2 linked regions of the Anolis sagrei genome follow. The protein of the gene in region 1 purifies or fractionates together with the protein of each later gene. This does not show direct contact. Links are inferred from orthologs where the notes say so. Each region holds a gene or a part of one and is shown on either strand. Other genes may lie near its edges.

Evidence for each region.
Region 2: the proteins of ACVR1 (region 1) and TGFBRAP1 purify together in Homo sapiens (co-immunoprecipitation; 3 studies listed by BioGRID and IntAct, counting the BioPlex papers as one, with this or other methods). This does not show direct contact. The link is inferred for Anolis sagrei from reciprocal best matches to the Homo sapiens genes ACVR1 and TGFBRAP1.

The regions. Positions count from the first base shown.
Region 1 is NC_090021.1:201,736,167-201,744,427, forward strand, and holds the start of ACVR1 (activin receptor type-1), read left to right. Parts: upstream 1-5,168; 5' UTR 5,169-5,451; coding exon 5,452-5,459; intron 5,460-8,261. UniProt on the Homo sapiens protein: Bone morphogenetic protein (BMP) type I receptor that is involved in a wide variety of biological processes, including bone, heart, cartilage, nervous, and reproductive system development and regulation.
Region 2 is NC_090023.1:105,840,266-105,847,802, reverse strand, and holds the start of TGFBRAP1 (transforming growth factor-beta receptor-associated protein 1), read left to right. Parts: upstream 1-4,318; 5' UTR 4,319-4,439; exon of another isoform or gene 4,440-4,444; intron 4,445-7,537. UniProt on the Homo sapiens protein: Plays a role in the TGF-beta/activin signaling pathway. It associates with inactive heteromeric TGF-beta and activin receptor complexes, mainly through the type II receptor, and is released upon activation of signaling.

The sequences.
Region 1 (8,261 bases):
TGTTTTTAAGTTAAGACATTTGTTCTTATCCCTTCCCACCCCGCACCCCCAGCCATATGAGTATCTGCCTTGGTTTGACTAGTTGTTTTGTCTGTATCTCCAACTGGAAATCAGATGTTGAAGGTAAGGCACCGTTTTAAAGTCTGCTGAAGTTTTTACAGTGAAGTGACCTAAAATTAGCATGTTGAATTAAAGTAATTTTGAGAAATAACTGTGTTAACAGATACATTTTAAAAGCTCCGTAATAGTTAAAAAAATATTTTAAGCTACTGTTCCAGATTTTGGTCTTTGGTAATATCTCATTCCCACATTATCCGAATGCTCAATCACCATCTCCCAAACCAGTTACTCTACTCCGAACTCAAGAGCGGGAAACGTAATGTTGGTGGACAGGAAAAGAGATTTAAAGATGAGCTTAAAGCCAACCTTAAAAACTGTGACATCGACACCAAGAACTGGGAAGCCCTGGCCCTTGAGCGCTCTAACTGGAGGTCAGCTGTGACTTACAGTGCTGCAGAATTTGAAGAGGCACGAATGGAGGGTGAAAGGGAGAAACATGCCAAGAGGAAGGCACGTCAAGCCAACCCTGACCAGGACCGACTTCTGTCTGGAAACCGATGTCCTCACTGCAGGAGAAGATGCAGATCAAGAATAGGGCTCCACAGCCACCTACCGACCCAGCGCCAAGACACCACATCTGGAAGACAATCATCCTCGAGCTACAAGGGATTGCCTAAGTATAAGTAATTGAAAGAGTGGTGCCTAAGATGAATGAAGATGGAGAACTACACTCATATGAAAGAAATAAGAGAAGCAGGGTTTATTATGAAGCAAACTATATTCCAAGTATTTTTGCGAGGTAGTGGTGTTGGTTAGAGCTTCATCCTGAGTGATTCTGGTCCATGAAAATTGATATCATAGAATCATAGAGTTGGAAGAGAACTCATGGGCCATCCAGTCCACCCCCCTGCCGAGAAGTATGAAAATCGCATTCAGAGCACCTCCGACAGATGGCCATCCAGCCTCTGCTTATGTTGGTTGCAATTCTTTATATACTTTTCCAGGTACAAAAAACTGAACAGAAGCATTCAGTGTTAGCCACAGACTATAAATCACATCTCCATTGTATCAATAATTGAAGGCGAGAATTATGTGGCCCTTCATATTGTTACTGAACTGTTGACGCCCAGCATAATCAGCTACACTGGTTCATGCAGATGGGAGATGCAATTCAATAACATCTGGAGGCCCTCACAATTGCCGTCTGGAAGTAATCTGATCTTACAAACCGAATTCATAAAAACCTTGGACCTAACAAACCTTCAGAGTTTATTTATAGAAGAATCCTAAGTATTTCTATTGAAAGATGGGGCTTATTTGGGCTTAAGCCTCGTTCCAGAGTAAATGGATAAAGGAATGCAGTTTAAAATAATCAAGCCAGCAGTACTATTATAGTTCCTCTTGTTTTAAAACTTCTGTCAATCTAATACACGGAGAACAGCCAGTACCAATATGAACGGAGGTATTTGATTTATACTGTCAACCCACAAATTGTTCATTATTTTAAGAACGCTCATGGAAACCAGTTACATACAAGGCCCAGAAAGCGTAGTTATGAACGACACAAAAATATTTTATACTGTCCTTGAGAGTGGGCTGCATTTTTTATATAAACATCACCTACGTGATACTATTTGCGTCTTTTAAAACTCTGTGTCTATTTTTATTGGGAAGGCTCTGGTGGAGTCTCTGGTCCTAAGCTGACCATTTTTGGATGACTCTAGAGCAAAGCTTCAAACTCATTTTCATGGAGGGCCACATCAGCTTCATGGTTGTCTTCAAAGAACTGTTGAATCCACAGATGGAAGACGTGGATACTGAGGGACAACTAGATTTTTAAAAATATAGTTTATTAAAAAAAAATTATCTCACCTTTCTCTACCCTGATGGGGATTTAAGGCAGCTTTACGTATGGCAACGATTCAATGCCTTTGGACAACAACAGTTAGAATACACTTAAATTAAAACTAAAATTAAAATTAAATGTACATTAAAACATATAAAACATAATGGCTTATACTCTTTAGTTTTCACCCAGTTCGGGTCCCCAGATGTTACTGAATTACAACTCCCATCACTTTTGATTATCTGCCACATGGATAATGTTTGGAAAAGGCATAACCTTTTGGAAAAGCATCTATAGCCTTTGGGGAAAACCAGAATTTTCAAAGTCTTTTGGAAAGGATTTTATTTATTGTATCAGGAGCTAACCAAGGGTACAGTTGCAATGTATTAAAACACACACAGTTTTAAAACCTGGCATTATAGAAAATGTTATTTGACCAGTAGCTGGCCACTTGGAAAGGATGACCTCAGGAGATTAATTAGCATTCACATTATTTGGAAAAATCATAAACCTTTTGTAAAGTATGATCTTCCTGAGAAGAGTTAAAAATTCATTTGAGTGAATCTCTTCTTTAGTGGTAAATATCCACTAGCATTCATGTAAGGCAAAATAGGTCTCACAGTTGTTGGACTAATATGCCTGATTATCTCTTTGAACTGTTAGTAACAAAGATTATGCCAATACACAAAATAAATAGCAAATTTATTTATTTATTATTTCGTTCATACACTTGTACCCCACCTTTCTCACCCCGAGAGGGGGACTCACAGCAAGCACCATTCGGTACTATCACAATCATAAAAACATTTAACAAATTCATTAAAACAACATTAAATAAACAGTTGTTAAAACACACCAGTCAAAACCAAAGTCCAGGTCAGTTCATTGTCACGCCAAATTGCTTATGTCTTCTTCTCACTTCTCTCACATCTTCAGAAGTGTTATTTCAGTTGCCCAAAAGACATCTACTCTCCCATAAAATATATTAGCTTTAAATCATGACCTCAAGAGACCAAAATAAGGTAGTCTTTGTTCAAAGTAACATAGTTGATTTAGTAAAACAGTCACAAAATATCAAAACATACAGTACAAGACATACCATATGTCAAAATTTCACAGGTTAAAATACATATAAAATATAATTATATATCTCTATAATTAAAAGTTATCTGTTATCAGCATCGCCACAAGGTAAACTTGATGGTTGTCTACTTTCCCTCTTCTCCACAGGCTAATTCACACAGATGAGTTTTTAATTGCTTCTTAAAAGAGAGGAGTGATGGGGCCGTTCTGATTTCTTTAGGGAGGGAGTTCTAGAGGGAACGGGCAACCACGGAGAAGGCCCCCTCTGTTGTTCCTACCAGCCATGCTTGAGAATTGGGTGGGACTGAGAGCAGGCCTCCCTCCGTTGATCACAGCGTCCTGACAGGTTTATACTCGGGGGTGCGATTTGTCAAATAGTCTGGGCCTGAACCATTTAGGGCTTTATAGGCAATGACAGCACTTTGTATTTAGCTCAAAAGTGGAGCTGCCGTAGCATGGGAGTTATCCGCTCCCGGTTAGTAGTCTGGTAGCTGATCTCTGCACTAGTTGAAGTTTCCAAACTGTCTTCAAAGACAGTCCATGTGGAGAGCATTGCAGTAGTTCAAACGGGATGTAACTAAAGCGTGGTAAATCATGGCCAGATCTAGCATCTCATGGTACGGATGCAGATGGCGCACAACTTTTAATTGTGCGAAGGTGCTCCTGGCCACTGCTGACACTTGGGTTTCCAGAGTGAACGATGAGTCCAGGATCACCCCCAGACTGCGAACCTGCATCTTCAGGGGGAGTGTGAAGCCCATCGAACACAGGCTGCAATCCTATACTCTGGTCCGCCTTCTGACTGACTGGGAGTACCTCTGTCTTGCTTGGATTCAACTTCAATTTGTTGAAGTTGAATCCATTACTGATGTCAGGCACTGGTTCAGGACCTGGATGGCATCCTTGGCTTTAGTTGGGTGTCATCGGCATAAAGGTTATCTGGATTTCGATTTCTAGATATACGGTGCTCGGGATATATAAATGGGGATGCAAAAGCCTTAGGATGCATCTTGAATGATCACTGTTTGGCCCCACTTGAACCGCCATGGTTCAATTAATGCTCTGGAATCACTGAATCATCGAATTGGAAGAGACCACATGGGCCATCTAGTCCAACCCCCTGCCATGCAGGAAAAACACAAAGTGCCCCTGACAGTTGGCCATCCAACCTCTGTTTAAAAGTTTCCAAGGAAGGAGCTTTCACCACACTCTGAGGCAGAGAGTTCCACTGTTGAACAGCTTGTACAGTCAGGAAGGGTCCTTCTAGACAGGCCCTATATCCCAGGATCTGAACTCAGGTTTTCTGCTTTAAACTGAATTATCTGAGTCTGATAATCTGGGATAAACAGAAAACCTGGGATCGGATCTTGGGATATAGGGCCTGCCTGGAAGGGCCTGAATGTTCTTCCTAATGTTCTGCTGGAATGTCCTTTCCTGTAATTTGAGTTGCAATCATGAAGTTGTAATTTTGGTGAGACGCCAGTACTCTTTGGCAGAGAAGGCGAAAGATCTTGTGAAAGGTCAGCTCCCAAGACACCAAGGAGCACAATTTGAATTTTTAAAAAATCTGTTCTTGCTTTGAAAGTGTTATTTCCTGTGTAATTGTGTGAGGCTGACTTTGGAAGTAGTTGTTCTACTCCAGAAACTCCAGGTGTTCATTGAAAAAGTATAGCAAAATGTGCTGCGTGATGTCCCATGGAAACAAAGTTTTTGTAGTTGGATAAACTCCCCCCCCCCCAATGCTTTTATGAGAGAGGAAATGAGGAAATGACATTGACAACCCAGGAACAAAAGTCGTATTACATGTTTCCATGAGTGATGGCAGTCAAAGTGGTGTTAAACTGCATACATTCTACAGCAGGCCTGGGCAAACTTGGGCCCTCCAGATGTTTTGGAATACAGCGCCCACCATTCCTAACAGCCTGTTAGGAATGGTGGGAGCTGAAGTCCAAACATCTGGAGGGCCCAAGTTTGTGTAGTGGAGACACAGCTGGGATGAGAATCAGAGTATGTCCTGCAGGGGGCGCGCCAGAGCGCCTGGCTTTGCGCCGGGAGGAAATGATGCGCCTGCTGCTGCTGCCGCCGCCTGGTTAATTACAGCCCCAGACGCTCATTGGCGGAGCCGGGAGCGGCCATGTCTGCCTCCCTCTTTCTCTCCAATGCAGCTGGGGAGCCCCTCCTCCTCCTCCGCCTCCTCCTCCCTTTCCGAGGGAGAAGCCAGACCAGCCTCTGACCCCCTCCCTGCCTCCCTCCCTCTTCTCGCCTTCCTTCTCGCAGGAACTTTGCGCTCCGGCCAACTTCGCCTTGCAGCGGCTCCTTCCGTCTCCTTCCTTCCTTTCTTTCCAGCCGCAGAGCCGCCGCCAAGCCCATGGAGAGGCATTTTCTCCTCCTCCTCCTCCTCCTCTAGCTGCGCCTGGGGATCCCGCCCCTGCTCTGCCTTTGTCTGCGCTGCTGCTGCTGCTATGAGGAGGTAAGCTGGAGCGCCCCCCCTCCTCCCCAAATCTGGAGCCCAAAGGCAAAGCCTGCTCTCCTTCCCAGCCCTTCCTTCTCAGCCCTCTTCTTCCCAGCTTTTTCCTTCTCTTCGCTTCTTCCTTCTCTCCTTCCCAGCCCTTCCTTCCCGTCTCCTTCCCAGCATTTCCCCTTCCTTCCCAACCCTCCCCTTTCCAGTTTTTTCCATCTCTGGGCTCCTTCCTTCTCTCCTTCCCAAACCTTCTTTATCCTCTCTCCCCCAACACTTTTTCCTTTCCTTCCCAGACCTCTCTTTCCTAGCTTTTTCCTTCTCTCCTTCCTTTTCCTTCCCAGCTCTCTTCTTCCCAGCGTTTTCCTTCTCTGGGCTCGTTCTCTCCTTCCCAGACCTTCCTTCTTTACTCCTTCCTTTTCCTTCCCCGCTTTTTCCTTCTCTGGTCTCCTTCCTTCTCTCCTGGTCTCCTTCCCAGCACTTCCCCCTTTCCTTCCCAACCCTCTCCTTTCCAGCTTTTTCCATCTCTGAACTCCTGCCTTCTCCTTCCCAAACCTTCCTTCTCTCCCTCCCAACATTTTCCCCTTTCCTTCCCACCCCTCTCTTTCCCAGCTTTTTCCTTCTCTCGGCTCTTTCCTTCCATCTTTCCTTCCCTTTCCAGCTCTTTCCTTCTCTAGTCTCCTTCCTTCTCTCCTTCCCAGCCCTTCCTTCTTTTCTCCTTCCCAGTTCTCTTCTTCCCAACTTTTTCCTTCTCTGGGATCCTTCCTTCTCAACTTCCCAGCCCTTCCTTCTTCTTCCCTTCCCAGCCCTCTTCTTCCCAACCTTTTCCTTCTCTGGACTCTATTTCTCTTCTTCCCAACCCTTACTTCTTTCCCAGCCTTTTCCTTCTTTGGGCTCCTTTCTTCTCTCCTTCCCAAACCTTCCTTCTTTCTGTTCTTACCAGCCTGTCTTTCTCTCTCCTTCCCAGCCTTCTTTTCTCTCCTTTCTCTACTTCTCTTCTTTCAAGCCCTCCCTTCTCTCATTCTTTTCCAGACCTTTCTTCTCTTCTCTTCAGCCTTTTCTCCTCTCCTTTCCAGATCTTCCTTCCTTCTTGCCTTTCTTTTCCTTGTGAGGGAAGAAGGGGAAGCTATGCCAATCCCTCTTTATATGATCCATTGTTATATATATTTAAAAACAACTCAGTGCCTGCCTTTTCTGCAGTGATTGCTGTTTTGTCCCCAGCTCTGTCTATGGAGGCGTTTTTTGTTTTTGTGGGCGCGACTCTTTGGGAATCCTTCATTAAAAAATAAAATCTCTCTTTGGGCACATCTCTACTGTAGAATGAATGCAGACCGAAACCGCTTTAACTACAGTAGCTGAATGCTAGGGAATTCTGGGAGTTATTGTTTTCTCCTCTTTAGCAGAGAAGGCTGGAAACCTTGCAAAACTGTACCTTCTATGTTTTCCATAGCACTGAGTTAGTATATAGTTTGGTGTGGCGCCAGCACTCTTGGACAGAGAAGGCTTCCATGGCATAAAGTGGCATCAATCTGCTCTAACTCTATAGTGTAGATCAGGCATAGGCAAACTTTGGCCCTCCAGGAGTTCTAAAATTCAACTCCTAACAGCCGGCTGAGATTTCTGGGAGTTGAAGTCTAAAACAGTGGGTTGCGGTGAGTTTTCTGGGCTGTATAGCCCCCAGTGGTGCAGTGGGTGAAAGCGCTGAGCTGCTGAGCTTGTTGACCGAAATGTCACAGGTTCGAATCCGGGGAGCAGCGTGAGCTTCCACTGTCAGCCCCAGCTTCTGCCAACCTAGCAGTTTGAAAACGTGCAAATGACAGTAGATCATTAGGTACCGCTCTGGCGGGAAGGTAACAGCACTCCATGCAGTCATGCCAGCCACATGACCTTGGAGGTTTCTACGGACAATGCCGGCTCTTTGGCTTAGAAAGATGAGCACCACACCCCAGATTCGGACATGACTGGGCTTCATGTCAGGGGAAAACCTTTACCTATAGCCATGTTCCAGAAGCATTCTCTCCTGACGTTTTACCCTCATCTTATAATGGGAACATCCTCAGAAGCTGAGGGGTTTGTTGGAAACTCGGCAAGGTGGGAGAAAGAATTCTTGTCTGTTTGAGGCAAGTGTGAATGTTGCAATTGGCCACCTTGATTAGCATTGAAAGGCATTGTAGCTTCAACACCTAGCTGGTTGCTGCCCCCGAGGGTCCTTTATTAGGAGGTGTTAGCTGACCCTGAGTGATTATTGTCCGGAATTCCTTTGTTGTTTGAATCTTCCTCTTTATTTACTGTCCTGATTTTAGAGTTTTTAAAATACTGGTAGCTAGATTTTGTTCATTTTCATGGTTTCCTCCTTTTTGTTGAAATTGTCCACATACTTGTGGATTTCAGTGGCTTCCTTGTGTCATCTGACATGGTGGTTGTGAGAGTGGTCCGGCATTTATGTGTTCTCAAATAATATGCTGTGTCCAAGTTGGTTCATCAGGTGCTCTGCTATGGCTGACTTCCCTGGTTGAATGAGTCTGCAGTGCCTTTCATGTTCCTTGATTTGTGCTTGGGCAATTTTGTGTTTGGTGGTCCCTATGTAGACTTGTCCACAGCTGCATGGTATATGGTAGATTCCTGCAGAGGTGGGAGGATCCCTCTTGTCTAAAGTTTGGCCCTCCATTCCAAAACAACTGGAGGGCCAAAGTTTGCCCATGTCTGGTGTAGATACTCTCTTGTTTCCACCAGGAAGATCTATTCCAACTTTGGAAACTTGGCTGATTGAGGTGGAGCAAAGGCATCCTTTAATGATCTTGCCAAGCAAGGAGG
Region 2 (7,537 bases), on another chromosome or scaffold:
TCCCATATGCATGGGGGTAATGATGCAAAAGGTTTGCTAGGGTAAACCCTCTTTCACTTAGACTCAGCCCCCCCGAATCAAAATCCTGGCTACGGGCCTGGTTGAATGGGGTTCAGAATGCTCTTTGATTATATGTGAACTATAAATCCCAGCAACTGCAACTCCCAAATGTCACGTTTCTTTTCCCCAAACTCCACCAGTGTTCACATTTGGGCATGTGGAGTATTCGTGCCAAGTTTGGTCTAAATCCATCATTGTTTGGGTCCACAGTGCTCTTTGAATGTAGGTGAAATACAACTCCAGAACTCAAGGTCAATGCTCACCAAACCCATCCAGTATTTTCTGTTGGTCATGGGAGTTCTGTGTGCCACATTTGGTTCAATTCCATCATTGGTGGAGTTCAGAATGCTCTTTGATTGTAGGTTAACTATAAATCCCAGTATCTACAACTCCCAAATGACAAAATCAATTTTTGAGTGATGGTCACTCCTTGGGTTAAGAGGTGCCTTGTAGCCAAATTTGGTGGCAATTCGTCCAGTTGAGTTATGATGTCACTCAAAATGAACAGAGCATTTTTTTATATATATAAAAGAAAGAAGATACAGTGTTCACTCACTTATCACGGGGGTTCCGTTCCAGGACCACCCGCGATAAGTGAGAATCTGCAAAGTAGGGACGCCATATTAATTTTAATATTTAAACATTATTTTATATATTCTTACGCGTGCTGCCTTACCTGACTCCCGGCCCATCCCAAGAGCGCCTGCCTGCCTCCCTGGCCTCCACAGACCCCGGCAGTCATTCCAGAGCCATGCAGGTGGCAGCAGGCCAGGAAGGCAGGCCTTTCCCACCACACCTCAGGCCACCACACTTCCAGGGTCTGTGGAGGCTAGGGAGGCAGGCCTTCCCCGCCGTCCCTCAGGCAAGCTGCACTTCTGGGGTCCCTGGCCTCCACTGGATGTAAATATTTTATATTGATATTTTCAAAAACCCGTGAAACAGAGAGTCTGCTAAAAACGAACCACGAAGTAGTGAGGGAACACTGTATAGTCAAGAGTTCAGAATTCATTTCCATCTTAATGCATTCCAGGAGAGGCCAATTGCATAGTTGGCTCTTTTCTTTTTGAAAAAAGGAAGATCAATTTATGTGTGATTCTCAGAGTTATAACCATATAAGCAAGTGAGATTAGTGGTGCAGTCATGCTGGCCACATGACCATGGAGGTATTTATTTATCGTGTCATCAGCAACCATTGTATTACAATTCCAACAGAGCAAAACAAACACAGAGATTAAAAAGAAAAAGAAAAAAAAAGAAAGAAAAAAAACCACACAGATTTTGTAAATTTGGTATTTGGTTAAATGTCCTTTGACCAGTATCTGGCCACTTGGAGTGCCTCTGGGGTTGCCGCAAGAAGGTCCTCCATCGTGCATGTGGCAGGGCTCAGGGTGCATTGCAGCAGGTGGTCAGTGGTTTGTTCTTCTCCGCACTCGCATGCCGAGGATTCCACCCTGTAGCCCCATTTCTTAAGATTGGCTCTGCATCTCGTGAGCGCAATCTGTTCAGCGCCTTCCAAGTCGCCCAGTCTTCTGAGTGCCCAGGGGGGAGTCTCTCATCTGGTATCACCCATGAATTGAGGTGCTGGGTTTGGGCCTGCCACTTTTGGACTCTCGCTTGCTGGGGTGTTCCAGCAAGTGTCTCTGTAGATCTAAGAAAACTATGTCTTGATTTAAGTCGTTGACGTGCTGGCTGATACCCAAACAGGGGATGAGCTGGAGATGTCTCTGCCTTGGTCCTTTCACTATTGGCTGCTACTTCCCGGCGGATGTCAGGTGGTGCAATACCGGCTAAGCAGTGTAATTTCTCCAGTGGTGTGGGTCGCAGACACCCCGTGATAATGCGGCATGTCTCATTAAGAGCCACATCCACTGTTTTAGTGTGATGAGATGTGTTCCACACTGGGCATGCATACTCAGCAGCAGAGTAGCATAGCGCAAGGGCAGATGTCTTCACTGTGTCTGGTTGTGATCCCCAGGTTGTGCCAGTCAGCTTTCGTATGATGTTGTTTCTAGTGCCCACTTTTTGTTTGATGTTCAGGCAGTGCTTCTTGTAGGTCAGAGCACGGTCCAAAGTGACTCCCAGGTATTTGGGTGTGCTGCAATGCTCCAGTGGGATTCCTTCCCAGGTAATCCTCAGAGCTCGGGATGCTTGTCTGTTCTTAAGGTGAAAGGCGCATGTCTGTGTTTTAGATGGATTAGGGATCAGATGGTTTTCCCTGTAATAGGCAGTAAGAGCACCTAGAGCTTCGGAGAGCTTCTGTTCTACCATCTCAAAGCTCCCTGCTTGAGCAGTAATGGCACGATCGTCAGCATAGATGAAACTCTCTGTCCCTTCTGGCAGTGGCTGGTCATTTGTGTAGATGTTGAACATGGATGGAGCAAGCACGCTCCCCTGAGGCAGGCCGTTCTTCTGTTTCCGCCATCTGCTTCTCTGGCCCTGGAACTCAACAAAAAAGCTCCTGTTTTGTAGCAGGTTTCCTATGAGGCGGGTGAGGTGGTAGTCCTTTGTGATATTATACATTTTTCTCAGGAGGAGGCGGTGGTTCACAGTATCATAGGCTGCTGACAAGTCTATGAAGACAGCTCCTGTGATCTGCTGCCTTTCAAAGCCATCTTCTATGTGCTGGGTCAGGTTCAGCACTTGCGATGTGCAGCTTTTGCCTTTTCTGAAGCCAGCTTGCTGTGGGATCAGACAGGGGTCTATATTTTCCATAATTCTATGCAAAATAAGTCTCTCCAGAACTTTGTAGAGGTGGCACAACAGGGAGATTGGTCTGTAGCTTTTTGGGTCATTACGGTCTTTGCCTGGCTTCAAGATGGCGATGACTCTTGCTTTCCTCCAGATTTTGGGGATCTGACAGGATGCAGTGCAGTTGTTCATCAGCTCCAGCAGCCAGCGCCTTGCTTTTGGACCAAAGTTCTTGATTTGTTCCATCCGTAGATCATCCAAGCCAGCTGCTTTGCCATTCTTACATTTGTTGAGAGCCATGTCCAATTCAGTAGATGTAAAGGGTTCATGGAGGTTGTTGTTCTCAATCTCCGGCTGTCTGGCTATTGGTTTCTTTCCTACTTTGGTGGCAAGGTTGGGTTTCCCATTCTTCAAGAGTTGGTGTGCTATCTGATCTGCCTTTATGTTGGCATGGGTATTAGTTTGTGAGGGATCGTTGCTCAGCCGTCTCAGCAGCCTCCACGCCTTCTGGCTGCTCCTGCCCATGTCGACCTCTGTGATCAACTTGATCCACTGTTCTTTCTTGGCTTCAGAGATGGAGGACACAATGCTCTGCGCTGCCTGAAGAGTCTGCTCACTGAATGGGTCTTCGTTGTGGAGCCTGTAATAATTTTCCAACAAGGCAGCTGTTTCAGAAGTAATGCCCTGGAGGTAGTGGGTTCTGCAGCCTCTCGGTATAGAGGCCCGTGAGCAGGTTTTCACTATTTCAATAAAATGTTCGTATTCCTCAGGGACTGGCGCGACCGATGTGATCATGTCGTCTAACATGTCTGAGAATTTAGTCCAATCTGCCTTTCTGAAGTTGTATCTTCGTTTAAATCGAACTTCCTGAGGCCTTATTGTTGGGAACAGTTGGCATATTATTGGTCGGTGCTGTGTGTTTGGGATTGGTGGTCCCACTGATTTGGTGCATTGCTGTACGATGCTGTCGCTCACAAATAAGAGGTCTGGGTTATAACCTCGGTGCCATCTCCCGCTGTTGTAGGATGGTGGGAGTTTGCTATCATGGATGAGTGATGGAGGACCATGGAGGTGTCTAAGGACAATGCCAGCTCTTTGGCTTAAATATGGAGATGATCACTCCCCCTCCCAAGAGTTGGACACGACTGTACTTAACGTCAAGGGAGATCTTTACGTTTTACCTAGAACAGGCATGGACAAACTTGGGCCCTCCAGGTGTTTTGGACTTCAACTCCCACAATTCCTAACAGCCTGATCTAGAATGAATGCATTTGGCACCGCTTTGACAGCCAGGGCTCAATGCTACGGGATTATGGGAGTTGTAGTTCTCTTGGGCAGAGAAGGTTCCAAGGCCTTGTGCAACAACAACTCCCATGATTTTCCCTAGCATTCAGCCAGGGCAGGGTGCAACTGCATTAATCCTTCTGCGAGGGAGATACAGGCTTCCCAGGCGGAGATCCCTTGGGTGGCCACGGTACTACCAGCCCCAGAATCCCGCAGAAAGGTCGCCATGGCAACCCCAGCAGGCACGATAGCGCTCCAAGAGTGGGAGGAGCCTCTCCGCCTGCCTTGTGACCGGAAGGCCCCGGGAGCCGCCCCCGGAGGAAGAAGCTCAGCCGCGGCCGAGGCAGGCAGGCAACGCCGGGGCCTTGCGTGAGGAAGGGGAAGAGAGCAGGCCCGGGCCCTGGCAGGCGGGGTAAGAAGGGGTGGCAGGGCGGGCAGGCTCCAGCCCGGCCTGCTCTTGAGGGGTTGGTCCGCACAGCCATGCCTCTGGGTCTCTCGCTTGAGAGGGAGGGAGGGCGGCTGTGTTGCAGGCTGAAAGTGCACCGGGTTGTCGTAGGTTTTTCGGGCTGTATGGGCATATTCTTGAAGCGTTCTCTCCTGCATCTGTGGCAAGCATACAGCCCGAAAAACCTACAACAACCCGCGATTCCGGCCATGAAAGCCTTCACAATGCATTGAAACTGCACCCACATTGCAGGATCAATGCAGTTTGGCACCTATTTAATTGCCATGGCTAAGCGCCCAATGGAACTGTGGGAGGGCCCTTCCACACAGCCAGATCATATCGGAATATCAATCCACAATATCTGCTTTGAACTGGGATTAGCCTCTTCCACACAGCTGAATAAAAACCCCACATTTTCTGCTTTGAACTGGAATATATGACAGTGTGGACTCAGATAACCCAGTTCAAAGCAGATATTGTGGGATTTTCTGCCTTGATATTCGGGGTTATATAGCCCTGAGTCCACACTGCCCTATAATCCAGTTCAGAGTGCAGTTTATACACCTGTATGGAAGGGGCTGGAGTTGTCCTTTGGTGAGGCGCTTGCCCTCTTTGACAGAGAGCGCTCAAAGACCTTGTACAACTGCAACACCCAAAGCATCCAGCCATGGCAATTAACAGTAGTGCCCTTCTGCATTAACTACACACATTTTGCTGCCACAAGTGTTATCCCTGTTTCTGGGCATATTTGACCTGCTGATTCCAAAAATGGCACCAGTCTTCCCCCATCAGCTTTAGTTTTTGGGATACATAATATATGCCATCTACGAGTTGTCATCTGCTCATTTTCTGCTTTGATAACCTGGATCTGACCGTGCAGAAGGGGCCATAGTCTATACTGCCAAAAAAATCCAGATAATGTGGATTTTATACAGCTGTGTAGAAGGAGCCTAAGGGCCCTTTCACATAGCCATATAATCCAGAATATCAAGGCAGAAAATCCAACAATATCTGCTTTGAAGCGGGTTGTCTGAGTCCACACTACCATATATTCCAGTTCAGAGCAGAAAATGTGGGGTTTTATTTAGCTGTGTGGAAGGGGCCTAAGAGGTAGACCTGATGCGGTCTATCCAATGCAATTGTCTGAATCAGTGCCCCAAATAACACCAAGAACAGGCATCGAAACCAAGGGCCCATCCACACAGCCCTATATTCCAGAATATCAAGGCAGAAAATCCCACATTATCTGAGTGTGGACTCAGATAACCCAATTCAAAGCAGATACTGTGGGATTTTCTGCCTTGATATTCTGGTATATAGGGCTGTGTGGAAGGACCCTAAAACACTAAGAATTATTTGTTGTTGTGCTGTGTAGGTCCCCCCCCCCCCCCCCCCAATGTCTTGTTTCTCAAGATGAAGAGCCTACAGTGTGAGGAATGGTTGCATCAATAGGAGTGCAGTGTCTACATTAGTAATCTCCAAACTCTAGCCCTCCAGGTGTTTTGGACTTCAGTGGTCTTCAACTCACAGAAGCCTCAAATGTCTTTGGTAATGAACAGGGATTCTTAGTCCCTATCTCCACTTCCAAATACAGATTATCTGTTTTTAACTGGATTATATGGCAGTGTAGACTCATATAACCCAGTCCAAAGCAGATAATCTGAATTATATGCTTTTATAATTGGATTATGTGGTGGTGTAGATCCAACCGGAGTGCCAAAGTTCAAAATACCTGGAACAGCAGAGCTTGGGAGGTAATACTTCAGTTGGCCCTCTGTATCCGCGGATTCTGCATCCACAAATCCTACTATCCATACCTTGGAAATATTTTTTAAATCCAAAAATCAAGCGATATTGAGTTGTACATGTTTGACAGGAGCTATGTTTTTTTTTTTTTTGGTTGTTTTATTTGTGAAATGTTATACACATTGCTGGCACTATATAGGCAAACAAGTGTAGTAATAAGTAACCAAGGAACTTATATTATCTCAATTCTAAATGCCTGTTGAGATGCCAGTGGAGAAGAACTTACTGTATTGATTGGAAAAGTTGGAATGGATTGAAAAATGCCACAATCTTTGTTTTGAAAGCCCAAGAGAAGTGGCATAGCCCATGTACATATTCTGTCTTCAACTTTGGGAACAGAGAAAGCAGTACTATCCTTCTGAAAATGTTGACAATAGACCAGTATGGAAAGTCATGACATTCACAACCGTCTCTGTTTCTGCTTCTAACAGATAGTAAATAGCAATGTCCTGAATCAATGATCTGTGAAACTGTGCTTTTGTCAAGCGAACTACACTTAACACTTTTGGAAAGCATGACATAATTTCTAACTTAAGGAAGGTGCTGTAGTTTTATTCTGTTTAACAGGAATTCTTATGGGAGGAACAAACATGTTGAATTTCACAATTGCAAATTAATCACTTTGTCGTTAGTGTGTGTATGTGGTAACATTTACTTGTTCTGCTTTTTAAAAATCTCTAGTCATTGTTACATTTTCAATAATCAACCCTCAGTATACAAATTAGTACCGTAATCATAAGAGTATTTCTGTATTTTGCACATGATCCAAGAAGTTAAACATTAATAGAAATCCTGGCAACAACCTGTAAAAAAGTAGATTCCGAGTGGGCTAACACTAAAATAATAGGCTAAAAGAAAGCCTTGTGAATGGAATAAGATTTTTCTTACCCATTTCTTGAGTCCCATTGATGCATCAACAATCAAGCTTTGGTTCTTTAAGTCCTGTTGAGATAATTGGGATTTTTTGACTGTCATACCAGTGAGACCAGTTCATGTAATTTCATTTACCCTCATCTGACAAAATGTGTTATCTCTAGTAATTTTCTAGGACTTCCATCCAATTCTGTGGTGTATTCATGCTGGTAGTTATCATTGGAAAAACGTTCATACTGGAAAAACTAGCAAATTCCTAGAAAGGATTCTTTTCTAAGAACCTTTTAGGTCCTCCAATGTGACTCCCTCAGAAAATTACTCATTTCAATAGGGTTCTTTATTTTTCAAAGTTTTCTGTTTTCGTAATATGTTCAAGATTGT